4 linked regions of the Drosophila melanogaster genome follow. The protein of the gene in region 3 interacts with the protein of the main gene of each other region in a pairwise test. Each region holds a gene or a part of one and is shown on either strand. Other genes may lie near its edges.

Region 1 (4,367 bases), on a different chromosome or scaffold from region 3:
GAAATTCAGAACGGAACTGTCTTGGGAATCCATTTCGAAATTTTCTACAAGTGCGTCAAGGTTATCTTGATTGTTTTGCATTAGTATGTATTTATTTTATTTATATTATTTTGCGTTGTTATGTACTGCGTGGCGTCTTATCTCTGTGCCATAATAATATTTAAACTGAAAATATCTTAGTTGGAGTATATTAATCTATTACATTAAATAGCTGGTTGTTGCATATCAACCTCGCGTCATCGCAAAAAGACCCTCACAAGAACCTCTTCGAACTATTTGAATGTCTAAAAACGAATAGTGAAGTATATTTTCGATTAAAAAATAATAATATAATGGATATAATGGACTCACCAGCTCCACAGAAACGAGCACAATTAAATTTTTCCTCGTTCATATAAAGCTGCATATTGCTGCCGCAAATGGGATTGTATTGCGATGTGGTGGGACAGTTACCAAAGCAGTTCAGAAATTCCTTGGTTGGGGCCGGTGCTGGTACAAATGGTGTAAGACCTCCTGGTATTCTTACATTGTTAACCAAAACTAAGTTTGCGCTGGTGGGCGAAATTGGTATTGACGTCGTTGCGGCGGCATTGTTCCATGGGCTACGAGATGTTTCGAAAATTAAAGGTTCTTGGGCTGCGCCCAACTGACTTAAACAAGCAAAAATAAATATTGGATGCCAATTGATGCACATCTTTAACTGAATCCTGAAGCTTATAGTCGTATGTGCTTTCGTTCGCTGATCGAGGGAAACTGAACCAACACAAGAATCAGCTGCACTAAGCATAAGGAACTTCACATATACTGGAAAGTTTTAATTCAGTGAATCAAAATACAAAGTAGTAAATAAGATATGGGAACGCCACTGAATACAGGTTTCTAAAGCAGTCAATCGTCTGGAAAATCCAGTTCTGTACGATGCCCGCTATCAATTTTAAGTTTATTATCATGTGCTTATATTTGCAATAATCTAGGGAAATCCCAGATTTGATTCATCAAAAATATGGGTTGGAAATGACCAACAAGAAACTTTAAAATTCGTGATGACTTATCCAATAATAATATTATAGTAAGGGACTGCTGTAATTCGAGGGCCAGGCATGGAAAACGCAGGAGAAACATATTGCATAGAACGCTCCAGCTTTTGGTAGTTTTTCGAAATAGCTGCGAAGCCAATGGTAGCTGAAAATCTCTTTATATTGTTGTACCCATACAATTAAATGTAGGTGCACTACTTACAGCTTGAAGTGGAAGGCACATTAAATGGTTCTGCACTCCATGCATCAGTGCCATTCTGTACCATTTCTTGCTTGTAATCTGGACTCAAGGCTCTTTGTAAGCATTTTCCCATATGGATGCTTTCCTTAGTTCGCCCACAGCGACAGACGGCCAGTAAAGGTTTGTACATCTCCGGAGATACGAATCGCGATTCGCCTTGGTTGTTGTGCACAAAAGGGCACAGGTCTATAGGGTAGAGTATGTGAGTGCACAATTATAAACCTCTATGTAAATATACCTTTTAATTTTAGCTGGTTACTTAGTTGAGAATTAATCTCAGATTGGTGGTAGAACTTGTTAGTTTGCTTGCCCGAAATTTCGCTCCAAGCTTTTGGAAAACTACGACGCGAATTGTGCTCCATGCGCACTTGCTCCTTTCTAAAATTGTTAATAATATCTGCTATTCATATTTTAATAAGATGTGCTGAACTCTTACAGCTTTCCAATCACTTTAGCAGGTTCCATCGTTTTATTATGTTTAACTAGTCAATAATTTTGTTTAATAAACCCGTTTTCTGCGCACGCTCGCCATGGCAACCAGTTAATTAGTATTTTTATACCCATTACTCGTAGAATAAACAACTTCTGGACAGTCTAGTAACGACTACGTTATATAGTGACATTTGCAACCGAAAGAAGACTTTTGGGAAAGTTCCATGTATAACTGCTTTAAAACTGAGAGACTGGATTGCGTAGAAACTGACGGACGGGCTTTGTTATGTCGCATCGTCTGCTGATATTGATCAAGAATATAGGAATATAGTTTGTGATCATAAAGGGTACCTTCATTGCGAAGCAAATTTCGGACTGTTACAAAATATACCCTATGCAAGGGCCTACAAAAATTTCAATGCAGATCAACAAATGAGGATTTTGTTGTTATTTTAGTGCAAAGAATCCGTCTAATAATATTAATAAGCTATTTAAGGTATATTTTTGTTTTTGCTGAGTAGGTGTGAATTTAAAAGTCCAATGAGCAGTAAACAAACCAAAGACTAAATAAATGCAAGTTATTTTCAAAATATGCTGAACATTTATTATAAGCTTGTATTTTTACAAGTTACATACGCCTAAGTTTAAACCTACAGCATATGATAAGGATATCAAATGAAATGCATGCTGTTTATTTACACTTTAATGTTTTGTACAAAGGGGGTTTTACTTAATTATTTTTAATCTTACAAATGTCTGGTGAATATGAAATTTATTGCATACTGGTGTACGTTACTAAATATGGTCAATATGTACATAATTTATTATAATTAATTATATGTGTTTTTATTGATAATATATGTTTATATAACATTTGATTCAAAATAAGAATACATAACTGAAGGACGTTTTTCAAATTGTTAGAAGTGTCTTTATAAACTATAATCATTTGTTCTAAAGTTTTCAAGGGCTATTATTTCTTATGTTCTTTGGTCAAAAACATTTTCGCGAAAATTTTTAATTTTTTGCACAAAGTATGACTCTAGTGCTTCAGCACACTTATAAAAGGATGATTCTTTTGGGTTATAGTAACGGCAGTTGTCAAAAATTTTTGTCATATCGCCTATAAACTCAGATAGTTTGGTATAGGTGTTTGATTCGAGTTTAATTTCCATCCGTTTGAGATCTATAGAAAAAAATATCCCCATTTTATTTATTTTCGAATAAATTTATTTTTTGTGTTACATACCCATTGGCTCTTTAATCACTTTGTAATAATCGGGTGCTTCCTTCGGATCAACCGGTTCCATAAATGGCCAAGCACTTTTGTGTAACTGTAGGGAAATTTAATATTTATTCCATTTTTGATGTGCTACAGTTGAGAGTTTTTCGTTAGCCAGAAATGAATGTGAAACGAATGAACGAATTGGATATTTGATTCACTTGGTCTTGAACTTATAATACTTTCGTTCTGTTCGTTACTTTGTAATATTTTTTCAACAATTTTACAAACATTACCGTATTTTAACATGTTTGATGCCATCAATATATAAACGATTTGTTCGTTTATCTAACACAGAATAACGATTCCCACAAAATTAAATTTTATTTAATTAAGGTCCCTAATAATAAATAAAAATTATTATGAATTTCAGGTTATTACCTGCATCTGCTTAATTAAGTTTTTCAGCTCTTCAACGTCATTTGAAGTCAGTTTCTTCATATTTGCAGCGTTAGCATCGTTTTTGCGTTGGCATTCAGGGCAAACATATTCATCAATAAACTCTGCTTCGCTCTGAAGTATTCCAACGCAACGGCCATGAAACCAATCCTGGCATTTATCACAGCATATATAAAATTGTGACTCGTCGTATGGTTGACGACAGCTACAGTAAAGCTGTTGCGTTTCTCTCGCCCTCTTGCAATCAATGCAAATGAACTCCGATAGTTTTTTAGAAGCTTCCTCGGTAATACTGACACAATCCCCATGGAACCAATTGCTGCACAAGTCGCACCCCACGTAAAACCTACATAGACACAATTACAATATATTAATTAAAAGCGCGTTAAGAATATGCATTTCTGCATTACTTTGTGTCATCATATGGAGTACGGCAAATGCAATACAACTTTTCCTTTTTTCTTGTCAACTTTTTTGGTCGGCCTGCGCCATGTCTGGGGTTCTGCACCTCTGTCCTACGATTTGATTTAGGTATTATTAGATATATCATATTGCACACAAGTGCATGAGTATACGTACCGTTTAAAATCTAAATTTGGTTCGCCACTTCTCTCATTTTCGCTTTGTTCATCCGGTGAAGCGTTACTTAAGGGGCGTACATGTCTTTGGACTTTAGTTTTTACATCTTCGTGTATTTCGCTTTGTAAATTACGCTCTAATAAGGAACGCTTGCGCAAAATATTTTTTTTAAGCAATTCTTTATGACGTTCCAATTGCGATTGCTTTTGCTCTCCAAGTTCAGCGACTTCGTCATTCTTGCTCCGATTTTTTTTTAAAATTCGATTAAATTGGCTGCTTGTTGTCATAGCATTTGGGCGTCTTAAGGAAGTACGAATTTTCCATTCAGTGTCATCAGTTTGGCGACTGGGAGTTAGTGCTTCCTCATTCACACTGCCCCTTGAGCATGTTTCCCACT
Region 2 (5,585 bases), on a different chromosome or scaffold from region 3:
AGGCGGCGCCGGAAATCGAATTCGCCCAGTCCGACGATTGCGACGAGGACTTCAGCGGCTACATAGCAACCAGCAACTACTTTCGAGTGCCCTAAAATTCTCAGTTAATCGAAATATTTTGTACAGTGCAATAAATCCATTAACACGTTTTGGTGGTGAATTATTTTGTTTATATTTACTTGCAATTAAGAGCTAAGAATGTAAGCTAAAGTGGCAATAGTAGCGATAAATAAGTTATCTAATCAATTGGCTATACTCGTTCCATAGTACATTTAATAATTAACGAGAAATATCTTGCGCACAAACAGGTAGTTTCTTAAATATTTGCGATAATTGCAACCAACAATTTCAAGTACTTAAGCTAGAGCTACGTAACTCGATCGGGGTTACATTCACTGGGGATAAATTATTCATATGTACGAAGCAAGAGGTTCGAGTGCAAATCTAGTGTAATTCAATAGAATTGGTGCTTGGACTGCTGTGCTGGGCTTGCGAAATGCCCAAATACATGGCCTACTTAAAAAGGGTTAACAATGGAGAACATAAAATTGGCTACGTTATACATAATTTCCGCCCGTCTTTGTTTGGTTTTTCGGTGCCCGTGCGGGATGCGGTGGTTCTACGAATTGTAAATACATTAATTCACATTTATCCATCTCAGCAGTTGCTTGGTTTGATTTCACAAAGATCGGTAAAATGCTCAAAAAGTTTGTACCAAAAACAGAGTACATCATATACGGTAAATCTCATAATAAAATTGTTTCCGGCGCCATCTGGTTGCCATTTGTACACGAGTGTAGTAATAGTAAGTAGTTAGTATGTTGGTTCGCATATATGTATATATATATATATATATATATATATATATATATATATATATATATATATATATATATATATATAGTTTTAGAAAGTAGTAGTTAGTTCATCCGGCTCGGCGGCTTAAAGTTCTTGTAAGTAGATGGGTTTGTTACGCTTGCGTTTGCCAGGAGTAGTTGCCACTACTTGTATATGTGTATAATATATGGTATCAATAACGCAATACCACCAGCTACGGTTTGTGCCCACAACATTGGTTTCTTTCCCTAACAACATTGAAATGGAGGTGGTGTCTGACTAACATGTTCGCTATGGTTTCGGGACGTGGCCGTTGTGCATATTTAACTCTTGAGCAGATTGTTGGCGCGCTTGTTCACGCCGTCCATGCGAATGTTGTTGGCATCGCCCTTGGCATTGATGCGATCAACCTGTTTGTTTTGGTTCTCCAGCTCGGAGCCCATGTCCAGGGCCATGTTGCGCAGGTTGCCCAGCATCGAGTTCACCTGCCCGAGATTCTCGTCCATCTCATCCTCACGCGCATCGTTCGTGATCCTGGCCACATAGCCGGACTGCGGTGGTGCACCCATGCCGCCGCGTTCCCGCTCATCAATGACCCTTTGCGGCTGGCTGGCCACGATTTTGCCATCGTCATTGGCCTTCCAGGCGCTCTCACCGTCGTCCTTGATGTTCACCTTCTTCCACGGCAGCACACAGATGCCACAGCACTTTTCCATGCCACTCAAGTTCTTCTCCGCCTCCCTCATGTCCGCGTTGATCCGGTCCATGCCCTCCTCAATGCGGTCCAACTGCTCGCCCTGGTCATCCAGGGCCACCAGCGTGCGGATTCCAGCCTCCTTGCTTTCGTCCATGAGGGCGAGCATCCGACGCGTGCTCTCCAGGGATTCATCGGCCACCTGTCCGGACTTGAACTGCAGCTCCTGGAGCTCAGTGCGCGGCTCGGCATTCTCCACGGCGGCCATTTCGGAACTATCTATCTGGTGAGATCACTTGAACTTGAGCTTGGCAAGTGGTTGAGAGGCAAGACGGCTGTCTTGTTTTTTTTTTGGGTGGGGAAATCTGGCCAGTGACTCACTCGCGCGAGATGAAAAACTACCCTTGGTGCTGGTTCGGTGTGTGAACTCGGTGGATATGTAATTGGGGCGGGGATGAGCTCGTTTGTGCTCCGTACGTAGGAACTTATTGCCAAGGTTTAATAATTTATTTGCGAAAGTATGAATTTTCACACCACACAACAATTCGCCAATTTGTATACTAGAGCTGCAAAAAAATCGATGTTAGTATCGATGTCGTTTTCGATAGGCGATTTTTACGTGTGTTCACACTGTTTAATATTGCATTTAGGCTTAGTTCGCAACAAGTACAATTAAAGAAATTATGCAAAACAAGCTGCAAACTATTTACGAAACAGGGCTTGCTTACGTTTTACTATTAAATCTGAGTTTAAAAGTTTAATATTGCATTTAGGCTTAGTTCGCAACAAGTACAATTAAAGAAATTAAGCAAAACAAGCTGCAAACTATTTACGAAAGAGGGCTTTCTTACATTTTACTATTAAATCTGAGTTTAAAAGTCGATTTACCATGCATAAACTAATAATCCAGTCTGATATTACACTTTTATCTAAGACATGAACCCTGTTCGAGTCTGATAAAACACAATTATTTTATGTTTTCAAAAATATTTCCCATCTAGTCACTGTAACCTTTCAATTCGTCGTGTGCCGAAAAAATTAGATTTATTTCTACAAAGTCTCCTACGCGTTAACATCAATTTGAAAGTAGTGAAGAATTTATAGTTTTTTCAATACTTTTCATAATTTAAAGCCGCGCATTCCCATCGGCGCCGTTGCTATCTTCATTGCGCGCGCAGTGTTGAAAAGTGTGTTTGAAATATTAACGCTTTGTTTTTTCGGTACAGCGTCGGTCTTCAGCTGCTCGAATTTTTGCTTAATTGCTTGTATTTATTAATTTGGGAATTCCTCGTGGCCAATTGGGAATAGCATATACTTAACCATGGACGATTCGCGCAGAACTATGGCCGGCAAGGCAAGTGTTTGGTGGTTTCAGTTGGTGTTGCTTCCATTTGCCGGGAAAAGACTTCCGAACATTATCCCATTTTCATTGCTAAAACAATAGTTTCACTTCCAGCAGATCGATTCCCGTAGCTCATCGATAATGACAAACGATGAGAGCGTCTCCATGTATTTATCCTTTGACGCGGAGGACACCCTGTCCAATGCCAAGTGGCAGTCGGCCCTGGTCACCCAGAACAGCCAGTTCCTGGAGGTGCACAACAGCAAGGTGGAGGTAAACACCGATGATAAGGACCTAAGGCGCACTATCCTAAAGGATCTGCATCAGTTGACCATTGGGGAACCGGACCAGAATTCTCCTCTGCGCCCATTTGACAAAAGTATTCTTAACCGGCACAACGCCTTGTGCTCCACTCCCTCCAAGGGCAATATTTCGACCGAAACGCAGACACCACAGATCATGGAGAGCATAGATCTGACCCAAATTGACGACAAGGAAAACACACAACCGGAGGGGTGTGGCGGCGATAACTCGACCTTGTCCAGTTCAGTGGACGTGACCGCCAATACGGTTAAGGCCAATACCCTAAAAACAGGGGATGCTACCATGGACAATGTATCCTTGCAGGAGGCTGCCAAGACCCCAGCTCCCAGCCAAGTCTATCCCTTGAGTGCGAACGTAGTTTTAGAGAATATAACTGAAGGTAGGTTTATACTATTGAGATATGGTTTCGTTCTATAAACATCTACATTTACAGTATCCAACGAAGGAGTATCCATGCTGGTCTCGCCAGCCGGAGCCGAAAAGGAGGTCGCCCATGTCAACGAGGTAGTGAACGAAGTCTCTGAGCTAATTGCCAAAGCTCTAAAGATCTCCGCTGATTCTGTGAAGCCAGCGACCTCCAAATTAAAAGTGGAGGCGGGCAAGAAGAGGCAGTCCATGAGCTCCACTTATTCGGGTGCCGCCCTACCGCGCCCTCGGCGCTCCTATCTGCCCACCACCACCGCAGAGACGCGAACGTACTCCTTCAAGCAGCGCATGTCGGTGGTGGTCAAGACAACGCTCAACAGCCCAGCTCGCAAGCGGAGTGTCGGTGGCGGTGTGTCACTAAGCCGTCGCAGCTGCTTGCCCGTCTCCAAGCTAACAAAGAGCAGCATAAGAAAGTCGCTCGCTGTGACCAGCGTGCGTTCGCCTGAGAAGATCGCCTCAAAGCCGGCTAAGACATCGACAAAAAGCATTCCGGAGAAAGTTTTTAGCTGCAAGAATTGCAGCACAACCTTTCGGGTGAAGTCACTTCTTGACGTGCATATGCGAATGCACGATCCGGTTGACAACGGAGCCAATACCCTTAAGCGTCTGAACAGCAATCCGGTTGCAGCGGGAGTCTCGAAGAATCGCTGCAAGTTTTGCGATAAGAATTTCGCACTGGAACGTGCCTTGCACATCCATTTAATGCAGAACTGCGACAAGATACCGCCGTCCGAGAAGCGCAAGCTGGAGTTCACCGAGCTGAACCACGAGAAGAAAGCCCAGCTGCCAAAGATCGGTGGCACCAGTGGCATTAACCATCCCATGACGATGCCCCAGAAGCCACAGCAACGCATTAGTACTATTCCCAAATTAGGTAACTATTGATTGAACAGCACGCGTTCTTAGAGAGAAATTATTACAAACCCAATTCACAGCTCCCTCACAAGGAACCCAGTCCATGGCTCCACCGAGCGTGAAAAAAATTCCCAAGAATGTGGCGCATGCCGGCGTCTACCGCACTCCCACAAAGACTGTGCCCTGCCACATCTGCAAGCAGTCGTTTAGGAGCATACTCGAGTTCACAAACCACAGCCTGACGGTGCATGGAAACAACCAGCTTAAGAAGATGACCGGCAGAGAGGATGCACAGAGTGCCCACGATTAAATTAAGCGATTCGTGTGTAGCCTAGTCTATGTCTAAGTTAAGTGCTGTGGCGTAGCTGTGGTCCGGTAACGGCGCGTTGTGAACAGATCGCCGGGCAGCTGTGAGTTAGCAATGCCTGGCATTTCGAGCGCTTCTAACTCAATGTTTCGGTTACTCGAATGCTTATTAATTGTACACTTCAGCTGCACGACTGGACTGCTTTGTGAATTTTTTAGGTTTTCGTATGACATTCACACAAAAATAACTATCGTAGTCTAAATGACAGTAATTACATTATATTCTAGGTTACTAAAAACTATTTTAGTTTTGAATTTTGTGTTTTCTTTTTTTTTTTGTTAAGGTTATTGATTGTTGTTCTTAATTGTTTTCTCACGGAACAAAAATTGCGTTTTAAAATTTGAATATTTAAATGGTCACTAGTTAGAGCCACTTTAAAAAAAAATAGTTGGCAGTACTAGCAAAAGTAGATTTCGCTGCTTTTCGCTGAGCGTTGGTTTGGCCAGTGGAAATGCAGGCAGCATTCAGCGCCTTTTATGCAGCTGCCAAAGGACTCGGACTAATATGTATGTACGTTTTTTGAGGGTGCACCTGCATTCACATAATCACTTGCTCTTCTTTTCGGGCGGTGGCTTCATGTCCACACCCTCGGTTTTGATATCTAGCGGTCCTGTGGCATTGTTCATTTCGGAGGCATTTCTCGCTGTGTTCAGATCATCGCCCGCTGGTGGCGGCTGCTGGAGATTCTGCAGCATGGGCGGTATTGGTGGGGGAAATTTACGCAAAAGCTCTGCCAGCAG
Region 3 (8,955 bases):
AATGTACAAAAGAAACGACACATCCTATGTTTTGTGTGATAACTTAAGATCACTTGACGTAAGATCTTTATAGTGAAATAATTCATTTCTTTGATCAACAATCTATCTTACTTTTTAGCATATCTTCAAACCAGCCATAAAACGCAACAAGTATCTTTTCATATCGTTTATTTCTCGACAGTTTAAACTTAGTGGATAGACTACCAAAATGTTCGCTCGAAGATCGCTTACAGATACATAATTCTTTAGGCATTACAACTACGTTAACTTTGGCAATCGACAAAGCTGCAAATATCTTACAGTGCGTGGGCTATGTGACCATGAATAAAACTAGATATCTACAAGTATGCGTGTATCTATATATGTACATAACGAATCCAAATATCACGGAACAGCGTTCAGTCCTCGCCCTTGGTGACCACGGAGACGGGTGTGGAGGCGTTGCTGCTGGCACCTGCCGCGCTGTTCGGCGATTGGGCGGCCGTCGAGATCAGTCCGCCCGTTAGCAGTCCGCCGCCTCCGTTGCCGCCCGCTGGGGGCGTGGCATGCGGCGGTGTGGGATGAGGCACTAGCTTGGGACTCTCGCGCGGACTGCTGTTGCTGCACGGCGGGCTAACTTGGCTCATCGCAGAGAGTCCTGCGTGCAGCGATAGATTCTGCGGATAGCCGGCCGATGCTGCCGCCGCTGCTGCAGCTGCTCCCGCGCCAAAGATCCCATTCAGATTGCTCAGGCCCATGTACTGGGAGAGCAGGGTGTGGAAGTTGGGCAGCTTGTAGTGGGGCGCCATCAGGTGCTGGGGCAGCAAGCCGGCGGCAGCGGCTGCAGCGGGATTAAAGTGCTGGTGGAGGGCAAAGTGCGGGGGCCAGAACTCCGACTGCATCGAGCCCGGATGACCCGGAAGTCCATGTGGCGGCAGGGGAATGCCCAGCGGAAACTCCGGCAGACCTGCAAGCGGAAGGCAAAAGGGCGATTTCGTTAGTCGAAAGTCAGAGAGAGCGGGTGGTGGCGGTGGTTATGGTGGTGAGACAAGCGACACAAGCGACATAATTCCTAATTATGTTGCACACGTAATTTGGCAATTTGCGGACAAATCAAATGCGTATCGCTGGTTGGGTGGGTGATGGCTGGGATTTGATGGGGTGGATTCGTGAGATGGGGGTGGTTAACTCACCTTGTTCGGGCAGAAGGTAACCGGCCTTGTCCTGATTCATAAACTTCTCACGTTTGCGCCATTTAGCCCGACGGTTCTGGAACCACACCTGCAAGTGCACGAAAAAGAAGGGAGTTTAGAGATGGAGTTGTAGGTATGCAAATTTTGGGTGCCCTCGGATTTAAGGCTATTATAAGCTAAAGGGGTAATAAAAAACATAAAATTATCTGATATATCATTTACCGAAGAGAGGATATGCCTTTTTCTGACTTATGTATACAACCTGTATACTTTTCAAAAACCAGCATACTTTTCTAAAGGGTATCTATCCCTCGATCTAAACTTGATTAGTTCTACAAAACTAGCGCCTTGGCAAGCGACTTGTAATTGCTTTGACTTTGACCAAAAACCGAACAATTTCCCAATCTATCAATCTGTGTGCTCGCAAAGTTGGAAGCACTTGGTCCTTGGATGGCTCCTTCTGCCGCCTCCAGCCTCGAGTGTCTGAGCCAAAGGACTTGGACGCCGTGGAGGGTTAGGTCAAATACAATGGCATCCAATCGGAAGTGTTCTGCTCTGATTTGCAACGCTCTCTGTCTGTCGCTACCCGTCTCGCTCGTCGGACAAAAGGGTGTCTTATGCATTTTTCGACACTTGCTTGGGTTTGGGGTGGACCAAACTCGCAGCCACCCAAATTCACCCCTATGCAAATGTGCCCCCTAGGCCATCCACAAAATAGGCGTTGGCTGCACATACATTTCCGCCTTTTGGGGGCGACGAATTTTCAGTCCGAGCCGAGGCTCTCGTTTTTGATGGCAAAATTAATTGTTTGTAAATTGAAATCACTTGACAACTGTCTGTAACGCTCGTTGATGAATTCGAGACAATAGAGAAGGCTCTGCAATTATAGACACCCTGTATTTAGATGTAACCCCCTTCTACGGCCACCCACAATCTGCAACAATGTGTGCAGTTGAGCGAGTAGTAAATTAGCAACGATTTCCTTGCTATAATTGCTGCCAATTATTGTCCTGTGTCCTGTGTGTGTCTCTGCTGAGAAAACGCCACCCACCACCCCCAACCCCTTCACAGCATAAGTGCTGTGTGTGTGTGCGATTTTGTGGGCTTTTTAATTGTCAGTTGGCAGCAATTATTATGGCAACAACTTAAACCACTGTGCCAGAGCAGCCAGGCAGTAAAAGTTGAATTGCGGATATCCGTTCAGCATTTATCACACATGTGCGATCAAAACGAGAGAAGAAACTGTCGCAAAAACTGGAAGAGGCGGTTTGTAAACTCAAAAAAAAAATGTGTACTTTAAAAAATTGTATAAGAATTCGTTATTTTGGATTTTCAAATGTGAAAGTTCTTTGCATATATTCCAATTAAAAAGACTGCATAAAGCGTTCAAAAACGCTTTGTTTCAACAATTTCCAGATTGATACAAATTCGCTTTCAATATTTTTTTCGCTTTTTTCGATACCCCAACTCGACAATAAAAATTTGACTTAACCCGGCAGATAAGTCGCTGGTTACTCCTTTTTTTTTCACCAAATGCCCCACACAACGAGCATGCAAATCCGAAAATAATTGCTCACTTACCAACCCCAAAACAAGCGGGGATTACGCTTTGGATACTTTTGTATCTATCAGCAGCTCAGCAAAAAAAATAACACATGTATTAAAATCGGGCAGCTCTAAGTCGGTTACTATTCAAGTACCCGAAACGCTCTGCATATGCGAATCAATGACCAATTACAGTTAATCTGCTAACAGATACGAATAAGTGCAAGGACGCGCAGGATGAGAATGCGGATGTGAGGATGTGAGCATGCGGATGACGACCGTGAAACGGACAATTTGTATTCGAAGCGGGTAATCCCTATGTGAGTGCTTAGGTCAAGTTGTTTCACATTCACATTCTCTTCACTTCTTGTTTTTTTTCACTTTTTGTGCCAGGCCATACTTTTCCCTGCTTTTTTATTCCCTGTCAACAAACAGCATCGAAATTGAGCGAATCGCTCAATCAGATGTGAAGTGTTTGAAAGCGTTTCACAACTGAAATCAAATCGTATGCGATTCGGGGCGAAAGGACACCCTAATTACATGTGTAGTCGGGTATATTTGGCCGCGTGTCCTGCCGCCAGTCAGCACCCAAAGCCACTTTAATTGTTTACCCGAAAGTAGAGTTAATAAAAATACCAACACCATGTGAGCGCGGACGATTTAATCATTTGGAAAATCACAATATCTAATGTCCTTGGTGCCAACCCTCTATAGAGAAAAAGGGACGCGTATTCACCCGTATTCAACCCTCCTCCGACTAACGAACTAAGCGTGTTTGTATACAAAGTGGGGCTTAAGTGTTTCAAAGACCATTTACAAATTGGGTTCGGCGATTGTTTTGCCCGTTCTTATCTAGCCATTCAAGTTCCCAGACTCTGAAAGTGGTTTATTCGCTTATTAGCGGACACTGCGATGGCAATATTTAAAGCCCATAGCCGTTAGATGAAAATACAGATACATTTTGAGCGAGTTGAACTGCAACTTAATTCGAAAATAATTGTGCGAATCGAAAACCAATTTCAATTACCTGCACGCGTGCTTCGCTCAAATCCAATCGCATGGCCAGATCCTCCCTTGTGAAAACATCGGGATACTGGGTCTTCTCGAAGGCTCGCTCCAGCTGATGCAATTGAAATGTTGTAAATGTTGTGCGAGATCTGTGAAAAATCGAAAGGAACGGCAAGGGCGGCACGTTAGATACGTCGGATAAGAGTTTGCCCCCCTCCTCTTTGTTGGCATGTTTTTTAATAGCCCGACAATGGGTAAATACGATTTGATCTGCTAAGCGGATTGTCGCTGCACTCACCTTCGAACTTTACGCGGCCTCTCCATATCGCTGAGATCATGGCCATTGTTCAGACTGGAGGACAGCTCGTCGTCGTTATCCACGTCCAGGCCGCCGTCCGTATTCGTTGGGGAGTCCTCTCGTTTGGCCTGAACCTGCAATTGTTGCTGCTGCTGCTGCTGCTGCGAATGGTGTTGCTGTTGCGAGTGCTGCTGCTGCTGCTGATGCGACAAGTGATTGCTGCCGTTGCTATTGCTGCTGTGCAAATGATGGATGTGATGCGGATGGCCGTGGTGGGGATGCGTAATCAGCACTTCGCTGGGTGTATCTGCGATAAAAAACAAAAAGTGGCAGGGAAATAAAGTTAAACAATTTCGAATTGAACTCGAGTGTGTGGGGAAACAAAAAGTTTCGCGTTTGACTTTTAAAATCGAAAGCCAAACGGCAGCTGCAGAAATTGAAGTTCATTCAATTGTGGCTGAAGTAGTTATATCCTCAATTTTAACCCCCTTTTTTTTGTACGGTCTCAGTCTCGAATAAAATTCAAATCCTTCAAGTGCTCGAAAGCTACGCAAATTGATTTGGCAATCAATAACAAATAAATATAAAGCCGGAATAAGTTTTAACCCCAATACCACGGCAGCGAGCATATAAATATCCTTTCACACGAAACGATTTGGTGAGTACTCAAAACGGTTTCTTTTCGAGCCAAGGCAAAACGTGTAATCAAACTTTAATGAACCTCAAATTAATCGGATTCACAATGGCACCAGGACACGTCCCCGCTCAGCAGGACGCCCGTGTCCTGGTTGTATCCTTATCGTATTTCGTAACATTTACGCAGACCCATGTGGCAAGAAGGTAATTTCCAGCGAGCATCAAATTACGAGGCTCACAGGATGCAGTGTCCTGCGGTGCGCACGCCGCTCGTTGTCGCCAAATTGCAACCTGGACCAATGGGTGCCGTGATTCCACTGAATCCAGCCCAGGCAATTTCCAGCCTCCACCTCTCCCGAGGACTTCAATCTAATTACGGGTCTAATGACGCAATTGCCCGTTCCCGCTCTCCATGCGATATATCCGGCCAGATATGTTTTGATACAGTGTTTTTTTTTTTCTTCTCAAGTAGATCCTTGGGCGAACTGCCTCCTGCAGCTTGGCCACGCCCACAACAAGAGTTCCGACATGCCGAACAACTCCCATTGTCATGATATGTTTTCTTTTTGCTCTCTGGGTGGAGTTCGAGGTCGGTGTTTGTCGGAAAGTTTTGAACTGCCCTCATTCACCTTTCCCAACTATGATAAAATGTCCCTTGCGAGCAATTTGCATATGATATGGATGGCAATGTCAATCTGCCTCTCCACTGCTCCGGCTCCTTTGCGAAAGGATCTATTTGATGTGGTCAGTGGAGTAGGAGGACGGTTCGGATTTTGGAGCACCAAATTTGGGGGGGGAGCCCATTGGCTGTGCATGAAGTCTAACGTGATATTTTGCCCTGCTGGTGGTAAGTTGTAACGCATTCAGGATGTTTTCATTATGTTTAAGATGTGTGTGAGAAATATTTCAAAGCTGTAATTAACAAGCTAGACTAACTAAATAGGTCGTAATCAATTCAAATTATACATTCAAATTTAGAATTTTTAATTCGTTTACGCCTGCCCATAGCTATTCACAAATTAATTTTGATATTGGATTTTTTAAATCAAACTAAGCTAAACAATTTATTAAGATTCTCTAAGAAAATGCAATTATTGTATCTTGATTATGTTTCCTTTTAAGCTTTTTGTGTGATGTACTAAGAAACTCTAACGCAGATCGCCGACGGCAAACGATGAATTTTTGTAAAAAGGATCCCCTTACATTTACATTCCAGTAAGTTATCCCCAGTTTATATTTGTTAAACTAAAACTCACCACTGCGCTTGATCTGGTGCTGATTGCCCAGGATCTGATCGATGCTGTAGACGGCGCGGGGGCGTGAGACAGGACTCTCCTGAACGGGGGCGGGGCGCATGGCTGGCGGCATGATTGGATGGTGCTGATGGTGCTGCGAGGTCGTCGTGGTCATCATAGCTCCACCAAAAGAGCAACTCGCGATCCGTACGGATTTCTATTGGTTTACTTCACTTGCTACAAGTTGGTTTTTTCTTATTTTGTTAGCGATTTTCCAGATTTTCGTTTTTGGCAACTTTTGTTTAATGTCACAATATTTGTTGAGCACGCTTTGAAAATTAGCTTAATTAATTGCTATTATCGGGTAAATTTGTCGATTAAACGATGCGATTTCGATACGGAATACGGAACAGCCACTGCGACGAACTGCAATGAGCTGAATCGAATCGAGTGAATAACTGCGAGTGAGTAGTGCTCGTGACGATCAACAACCACCGACTGAGTGCGATTCCTGCCGCCCGTAGGTTTAAATACGTTGCCTGTTTTTCGCTAGCAAGTGAAATGGGCGAGGCTCGCTCGCTCGCTCTCGAATCCGAATCGGAATCACAGTTCCCAATCCTTCGCTTTCGCCCATGTCCTGCCATGCCAGCCGTCTCTTTCGTTCGCACACGCTCGCTCTCTCCCTCTCTCTCCTGCTGTAGGGGTAGTTTCCCCCAGTATCTCAGTATCTCAGTGCCGTGTATCTGTGTGTTGGGTTGGCTCGCTCGGTGTGTGTGAGTTTGGGTTGCAGGTAGCTTTTGGTTTTGGCTTAGGGGTGTTGGCCTCCTCCACTCTCTCTCTCTCTCTGTCTCTCTTTTCAAATCTCTCTGGTACTTTTCCTTGACACCTTTCTCTTTCCTACCCATTTAATGCACTCTCTTTCGGTAGTTGTAACTAACATGGTTTGCTCATTAATTGTGTTTATTTCACAAATTTCGCTTGTTAAAAACTATTTCACCCTTCCCCCTCTTCCTTTATATATATCTCACTCTCTCTCACAGTAGTTTCCTCTCCCTCCCGTTTCCCGGCTCATCCACAAATCACAAAACAGGTTGAACCACTCACGGGATTGCCAAACTGGTACCTGAATCAAGTCGGCCATTTGCCAGGTCCTCTTTTATTAGTTCCGCTTCCATTTCGGCGATAGATTTATGGCCAGGATCCCCGTGATCTTGAGAATGAGCCCGTGGTTTCATTGAACAAGCCAAACGATCAATGAATCCCTTTACTTAGCAAGGAACTGTGGCAGGATCGAAACCTAAGTTCATTGATTAAACTGATCTCATCTCGAAGGATTTCGGCCGCATTGAATTTCGTTAAAAGCAACAGGTACAGTGCGGAACTGATTTCACTAATGAGTATTCAAATCATTTTAATTAATAGCCAGTGCATAAATACATAATAATAATAATACATAAATAAATTTAATACATATATTTATCTAAATACTATGAAGATTTCCTACCAATCTTATATTTTCTGCATGTTTCCTTTTAATGATAAAAATGTAATATTTTAAGTAGCACCAACCAAAAAGGATCTAAAAATATGTAGGCCCTGGTTTTGCTACGATTAAATAACCGAAAATAGCTCAGCCTTGTTTAAATCACCCACTTAGATCTGGGATTTGCGTTGAGCTTCAGTTTAGACAGGGCTCTCTATCCAAGATTTAGTCCAGAACCCTGGTCCACCCACAGGTTGCATAACACAAAAGGATGCCAAAAATGGCCAAAAGTGGTTCCCGAAAAAAGAAAAACCATCTAATGCCCGAAGGATACATGGTGTGCTAAAACGCCGGCTACAATGATAACAAAGCAGGGACCGGGATTTATGGTCTCTAATTTGTCGAAACTTACACAATTCCTTTGTGCCCCGAACCCAAACAAAGCCAAGGATCGCGGCACCTTCAGCCGGGAAAATCGGGAAAAGTGCACACGTAATTTCCGCGAAAACTGTGAACAAGTAAGCGGGACAAAGCGTTGACCGGACTCATTAATGTGCCAGATGCATGACGCCACAGGACACGGGGACTCAACAGGACGCAGGATTAGGTTTAGTCTGCCGAGGCGCTTAATCATATTTTCATAGGACGCATTCCCTATGCAGATTTCATTCAGCAATCCGATTGCATGTTCGTTTAATTTAGAGCTGCAGAGGGCATCTCTCGAGACTTAGGATTGCGTTCCTGCCCAGATCATACAGCCTCGGAATCTCTAATCTAATGTGGAATGCATAGTGCTCGCCGGCCACCAAAATTTATGCAGCATCATCAGCGCACTTAGTCGTAATCGCCGGCTCATTAGGACTGCTAAACAGAAGAAAAAAGGGCTCCTTCCTCACTAATTGCCGATCCTCAATCCAGCCCAGGACATGCCCTTTTTTATCCAAGGGCAATCTGATTGCCCATTTTGGATTGAAGATACGAGGAATTAGTTCTTAAGTAGCTATAATTCGTTAGGTAATCTCTTATCAAATGGTTTATATTTTGATGGGTGATTGAGAAAGGCTAAATAGTAGTCTTGGAAAATCATCAGTACATATATTTTTATTAGGCAAATGCCTTACCCAACAATAGCACATTATAAATTTGATGCGCTTGAGTGTAAGTAATTGCGAATCAATATTGTCGCTTTACAGGACCTCTTCCTCCCATCCAAGCTCAACTTGTCTGTGCTCTTCAACACTTTCAATTAATTTAGCTGTAGGAGCCATTCTTACAACACCCCGCCCCATGCAACCGAAAGCCATTTAGGCCAAGTGTGAAATGACAAATTGAATCAAAGCCAAACTCAAACTCAAACTCATTGAAGACTGCACTTCATTGTAATTTCTAAATTAGCACATCTATTTGGGGCCGGAATGGGGGGCAGTCAGAAGATATCCTCCAGCTGCGAGTCCTCTCGCAGAATTCTCTCTGGTCGAGAGATTCTCTCGGGACATGCGCAACGCTGGTGAAAGCTCATTGGATGTCCCGGCATTTCACTCACACTCAGGGAATCGAAGCCAACGAGGTCATTATCGT
Region 4 (6,338 bases), on a different chromosome or scaffold from region 3:
CAAAACAGAGATTGTGTTTATCCAAAAGCTGCAGTCATTATCTTAAAAAATAAATTTAAATGGCTAGATAATATCGCATTCAAAACATGTCGAATAGCTGAGATTACTTACTTCCGTATCGCTTAAATATAACAAATGTTTTTGTTTTGAAATTCTTCTTATCCGGCACAAGTAGAAATAAAATATTTGAAGCGCTTGTCGGAAATAAATGAGTCATGTTTATTTCAAATATTTTAAGATTCGTGCCAAAAATTATTTTAATACTTAGTGGATGCAAATTTGTTTTTAAGAAAGTTATTATTTAAATCCTTGTTTTTAGATAATATTATTTAAATATGATTTTAATATTTAATATTATTAAAATATGCGGTACTTTCAATGGGCTTGCATTGCTCTTTCACAGAATATGAACCATAATGGCGTCGAATGCAGTATATTAGAGCAACTAAAATAGCCAAGGTAATTACAATGCCATACACACTGATAAGTAAAGTGTTGCTGTTTTCTGGTTTTGAAATCTCATTGTCCTTTAAAAATATCTTTGCTGTCGTCGAACTTTCGGTTGAACTTTCGGTGAAGTCAGAAATCTGTGTACTTTCTTCAGTAGATGTATCCGAAGTGGATTCCGTTTCACTTGGGGTTGAATCTGTTGTCATAAAGCTAGTTGAAGTTGAATCTGTTGTCATTGTAGTAGTTGGAGATGGACGGTTGCTCTGACAAAAACAAAAAATTATGATAATTCTTGGTTTTTAAAATTAAATTTTTTTAATTAAATACCTATAAATATGTAATATTTAGACTAACATATTTGTATGTCATTTGCATATGCAATTTGACCCTTTGTCATGGGTATTTAATGTTATTGATTTTAAAAGACAGAAAAAGTACGTACATGTATTGGTTTTCTGTGCGGATGTTCAGAACGGTATCCAAAGGAACTGGTAAAAGTGAACAGTGCCAGGAAAACGACGGTCAGTTGAAAATTATGCATATTAGTGACTTATGTAAACTTAGTGTGAACTGCTCCGCCGAGTGCCAAAAAATGAACTAAACTTTAAAATTTCGCTTGCCTTCTGCGGAGCGAGATTAGTACCCTTTATATGAAAGCTTTTCGGGTATATCCAATAAGGAGGAAAATATGTAACCAGTGTATTTATTTTTAATTTAATTGGCTTTATAAAAGTAAGAAGTAATTGTACAATTATTTCTTACTTTTTTATAAAAAAAGAAAGGTGAGTAAAGGATTTAAATACACTTTTAAACGTTAAGCTCGTCGAGTTCATTTTATGAATTTATTGAGTGGTATGTTTTGGTTGACTTACAACTTTTTTCTCATTCTAAAAAATATGAGGATTACAAATCAGTTGATCTCAGTCGTTTTATTAGTCCGCGAACATTTTACATATTTTAAATATTACATATTATATATGTATGTATGTATGCTTAACAGGCCTCCAATGATTTAGTAGTAAATATGACTCAATCACTTTTGTGTGTCATTCCAAACGTTTCCTGTAACTAATGATAATGGTTAATACAAAAATAATTTTTTAAAAAGAAATAATTTCCCTTATATAGTGATGAACAAACTATTTTAATGTAAATAAACAAAAAATTGCTGTGGTTGTCCAAACTTAAAACTCCAAACACAAAACGAAAGGTATTGAAAAACAAAGGGGTTGTCATACCAATACTTCACGGATTTGATCAGTTTATAAAACTGCAAGTTTCCGGTTTTTTTGCATTGTATTGTTATTATGAAAAGTTATACAGTTTTAGAGCATTACAAAAACTCTGCCTTTACAACAGCTATTGAAAGCTCCTCCGTGTGGAGGAAGTGTTTGGCCAAAATATATGTTTGATATCACGATTTATTAAAGCGTGCGTTTTATCTATTGGATTGATTAACCACACAGAAACTCTGTATGGGAATAGATACATATATGACAAGTACTGAAAAAGGAAACGCTGATACGACTGGTTGGTATCAGCGTTTTCTTTTCCAGTACTCGTAAAGTATTCGTATAAATCTTCTTAACTATTACAGTTAGACGTAATATATATCTCGTACTTGTAAAGTACCCTCTTTTGATGAAACCTAGATAGTCAACTTTAAGTAAGCACAATTGACATTTGCTTACATTTATAGTGAGTCCTGCATTCCGTACCTAAATGGTCCAGTTATTCTTTTAAGCTTGAGGACATTACCAACAAATAATTATTATAATTATTATTATAAATTTATTTCATGTTATTACATTTTTTAATTCAAGTAATTTAACAATTTTACAAGCGATTTTGAAAGGATAAGTGATTTTGTGTGGATTCAAACTATTCAAAATCACATTCAACAATGGCTTCTTCGGCTTCAAAATTTCGCCTAGAGGTAGAACGTCGATAGTACTTTATGCCAATGATTGTGGCGGCCACACCAATGATCATTCCAGCGCAGGAGCCTACGATAATCATCCACTTGTTAGACGATCCAGTTCGGTCAGGAATCCGTACCTCAGCCTCTGATCTTGCCCCCTGCTCTGGCAAAATATGACAAACGTATCGCGAATTCTCCCCGCTGTAATCCATGTCACTATCCTCTTGGCACACCAGTTGACCACTCGATAAATCGCATTGGCAATTGTCCAAATTGAGGCACGGCTTGTCCTGGGGATCAACACAGATCTTGGCACACTTGGCTGTATTGAAAGTACCCATCCCATCGTATTCAATCCAGCACATGCAACCGGCAGTGCAATTTGAGTGCGGAACCTCGCTGGTTGATGTCTGCAGTTGAGGGTCTACAGTTGATGATTGCAACTCCACAGTTGTGGTGCTGTATTCATAGGAGTCCGTCGTGGTTTGTAACTCGCATAGTCCGTTAATATTCTCATAGCCCACGTTGCACTCGCACACATTCGGTGCCACACAGTCTCCGAATTGGCAGCCTTTGCAGATCGGCTGACACATAGAAGTGACAGGATTTGTGCTATTGAGCTGATAGCCATCGTGGCATATACAAAAATTGGGTGCCACACAGTGTCCGTTGCTGCAGCCACTGTCGCAAATAGGATCGCATTCGTGATGGGAGTTGTCCTTGAAGCGATAACCCGGATCGCAGGTACAGGTTTCTGGACTGGTGCACTTGCCATGAACACAGTTTAGGCTGCATTTTGGCTCACAGACTTGATTGGGACCCATTTGATAGCCAATACTGCAAACACAAGTCTCCGGTGCAAAGCAAAAGCCGTTGGTACATCCCTTGCTGCACTTGGGTACGCACTTCTTGTCCGCCCCCGACGACTCATAGCCCGGAAAGCACTCGCATTGGTTGGGCGCCACGCAGTGTGCGTTATCCGAGCACTTTTCGCAATGCGGCTGGCAGAGATCATTTCTCATTACGTAGCCCGGCTTGCAGACACAAACGCCGGGACTCAAGCATAATCCGTTCTCCGGGCAAGTGGAGCACACGGGTCGGCAATTGGTGCCTCCGTCGTCACCGGCATATCCATTTTCACACTCGCACACACCTGGCCTCACACATCGGCTGTTTTGGCCACAATCCTTTGGGCAAATGGGCGAGCAATTGCCATTTGAATTGTTCTTGTATCCATCTGGAAAGACGGTGCCGTTTCCCACTTTCTCGTACCCAGGTTCACATTCGCATTTCCCGGGCTCCGAGCAAAAGCTATGGTGTCCACATTCCTTTTCGCAAACTGGAAGGCAATTGTCGCTGGGAGAAGTTCGTTTGTAGCCATTTTGGCAGCTACAGACTCCGGGGCGATCGCAAAACTCGTTTTTTCCACATACCGTTGGGCAAACGGGATGGCAGTCGATACCGCCGTAGCCCGCATTGCAACTGCAAGTATTGGGGGACGAGCAGAATCCATGTTGAGGACACTGTTGTCTGCAGACAGGTTTGCAGTTCTCAACGGATCCTTCGTAGCCCTCACAGCAACTGGGTCTCATTACGGTCCTGTAGGCAGTCTAGAGAACAGGAGAAAAAGCCTCTTTAAAGGAAACTTTAACTACACACTTACCAAAGCTATAAATAATAATATAAATTATGTACAAATTCGAATTACCTCATCTTCATAGACATATTGATGCCTGTACTTAGTAACCCAACCATGAAAGTATGAATACTGTTGAAACGGAACCAATTTACTTTTAAGAACCTTACGGTTATACGGAACGCTTTCCGGGTGACTGCAATCATTTAGGCCATGCCGTAAAATGGCGAAACTTGTGCCAAAGGACAATGACAGACACACAAAATGCAGTGAAAATGCAGTAAAATCCATGAGTAATGCGAGTCAATTCGTTTCCTGAAGTATATACCATATATATATTCACTATCTTAAAGCAACCAGTCTGTCCGATGAATTAAACAGAACTGGACCCTCAATTAATGTAATGTTCTTTTCTCTTGGATTTTTAATGAATTCCAGATAACGAGCACACTATATCTTCGTTTGCTTTGTACATAGGAATCTTTTAGTATTTTATAATTATTTGTATTATTAGCTTTAGGGAGACTAGTTCCGTTCCCCATTTATATTTTACTCAAAGTTTTGTATTTACCTCTTCGTCTGTATAATACTCGGTGCGGTATTTTGTCTGCCAACCACTCCAGAAAGATCTATGCTGGTATGGTATCACTCTACTCCTTTCGACATATCTCTTGTAAGTAACCACCTGCGATCGGTTACAAACATTCAAGCCGATGGGTTGAATGAAGTCGACGAGTAGCATAAAAAAACCCAGACACACCCAAAGGCATTGGATGTGTGACATTATGGAAAGAGCAGAAATCTTGTAAAATTCAGCTTTGATCTCTATGTAAATGAGTTCGGCGCAACGTTTCAAATTCAACTGAGCTGCAAATGTAAATTTATATATTTCATGTTGCTCCAAAATCAGCTACATCCGTTGAGGACTCGACAATCTAGACCTATACATATAAACCGCTTGGGATTATCTGAGCATTTGTTTATCCCAATATTGCAAGCAAAATATGTAAGACAGAAGCAAACGCTATAATGTTTCCTTCAACTACTGTATATATTTCATCAGCCATTCAAATATGCCCTAGGTTACTAAAGATACTTAAATTTATTCTAAATGGTTAATTTCATTGCGGCTAGTCGAGTTGCAACATCAAATGTTATTGCTTTTTTCTACAAAGAACAAGACCGTAAATAAATAATAATTGCTTGATATGACGATTGACGACCGCCTGCAATAATGATTAGCTCTTATCATTTATATGTTAGAACTGTTTATGGTGAAAGTGTGAGTAGTTTACTCTCCCAGAGCACTCACTCAGGTATCTCGGTGATTCCACACTGTTGAATACCTCTCCCAAATTCAATGAGCAGCTACAAATAGAGCAGAGTATCTGATTCCACAACAGACGCCGTTTAGAACTCGTCGCGCGTGGACGTAGATTTTAGAGCGATCGAAAATGGTTCTGATTACTTTGACCCTGGTTTCGTTGGTGGTGGGCCTGCTGTATGCCGTGCTGGTATGGAACTATGACTATTGGAGGAAACGGGGCGTTCCTGGTCCCAAGCCAAAGCTATTGTGCGGAAACTATCCAAACATGTTTACTATGAAGCGGCATGCAATCTACGATCTAGACGATATATACAGGTGAGTTATCCCAGCTAGAAAGGTTATATTAACTACCAAAATTCAATGGATCATCAACTGTTTCACAAAGAAACCAAGAACCATTCTTAAAACGCATTTAAAAAATTACGCTTTACTTGAATTTAATGCGATCATTTTATTCAGGCAGTATAAGAACAAGTACGATGCTGTGGGCATTTTTGGCAGCCGCTCTCCACAGCTGCTGGTGATCAATCCCGCGTTGGCGCGTCGAGTCTTTGTGTCCAACTTTAAGAACTTCCACGACAATGAGATCGCCAAGAATATTGACGAGAAAACCGATTTCATTTTCGCCAACAATCCGTTCTCGTTAACTGGCGAAAAGTGGAAAACTCGAAGGGCGGACGTAACGCCTGGTCTTACGATGGGACGGGTGAGGCAGTTCATCCAGTGGCAAGCCCGAAAAGTACTGATCCAACCAATATACATAATTACAGATAAAGACAGTCTATCCGGTGACAAACAAGGTGTGCCAAAAGTTGACCGAGTGGGTGGAGAAGCAATTGCGTCTGGGTTCTAAAGACGGCATCGATGCCAAGCACGTAAGATTCCATCTATACTATCTGTTGTACGTATTCTATGAAACCAAACCTGTTTTTTTTTTTTTTTTGCTACTTTATCGTCCACAGATGAGTCTCTGCTTCACAACAGAGATGGTCACCGATTGTGTT

Evidence for each region.
Region 1: the proteins of hbn (region 3) and CG34453 interact in a two-hybrid assay, tested with the Drosophila melanogaster proteins (one large-scale study listed by BioGRID).
Region 2: the proteins of hbn (region 3) and CG8478 interact in a two-hybrid assay, tested with the Drosophila melanogaster proteins (one large-scale study listed by BioGRID).
Region 4: the proteins of hbn (region 3) and NimC1 interact in a two-hybrid assay, tested with the Drosophila melanogaster proteins (one large-scale study listed by BioGRID).

What each region holds. Positions count from the first base shown.
Region 1 is NT_037436.4:231,609-235,975, forward strand, and holds CG34453 (uncharacterized protein), read right to left. Parts: upstream 1,744-4,367; coding exon 1,715-1,743; intron 1,657-1,714; coding exon 1,517-1,656; intron 1,465-1,516; coding exon 1,240-1,464; intron 1,183-1,239; coding exon 1,049-1,182; 3' UTR 872-1,048; downstream 1-871. Other genes in the region: CG34454 (uncharacterized protein), read right to left, coding at 226-284, 352-694; E(bx) (enhancer of bithorax), read right to left, coding at 2,691-2,896, 2,960-3,044, 3,374-3,737, 3,802-3,906, 3,971-4,367.
Region 2 is NT_033777.3:9,761,051-9,766,635, forward strand, and holds CG8478 (uncharacterized protein), read left to right. Parts: upstream 1-2,703; 5' UTR 2,704-2,852; coding exon 2,853-2,885; intron 2,886-2,975; coding exon 2,976-3,576; intron 3,577-3,630; coding exon 3,631-4,497; intron 4,498-4,558; coding exon 4,559-4,788; 3' UTR 4,789-5,085; downstream 5,086-5,585. Other genes in the region: Mpi (mannose phosphate isomerase), read left to right, coding at 1-95; Snap24 (Synaptosomal-associated protein 24kDa), read right to left, coding at 1,161-1,799; MED6 (mediator complex subunit 6), read right to left, coding at 5,391-5,585.
Region 3 is NT_033778.4:20,954,516-20,963,470, forward strand, and holds hbn (homeobrain), read right to left. Parts: upstream 6,395-8,955; 5' UTR 6,073-6,394; coding exon 5,916-6,072; intron 4,331-5,915; coding exon 4,024-4,330; intron 3,875-4,023; coding exon 3,745-3,874; intron 1,261-3,744; coding exon 1,173-1,260; intron 947-1,172; coding exon 399-946; 3' UTR 153-398; downstream 1-152.
Region 4 is NT_033779.5:13,971,899-13,978,236, forward strand, and holds NimC1 (nimrod C1), read right to left. Parts: upstream 4,357-6,338; 5' UTR 4,299-4,356; coding exon 4,080-4,298; intron 3,982-4,079; coding exon 2,332-3,981; 3' UTR 1,260-2,331; downstream 1-1,259. Other genes in the region: He (hemese), read right to left, coding at 342-713, 893-991; Cyp28a5 (cytochrome P450 28a5), read left to right, coding at 5,462-5,649, 5,794-6,040, 6,105-6,209, 6,297-6,338.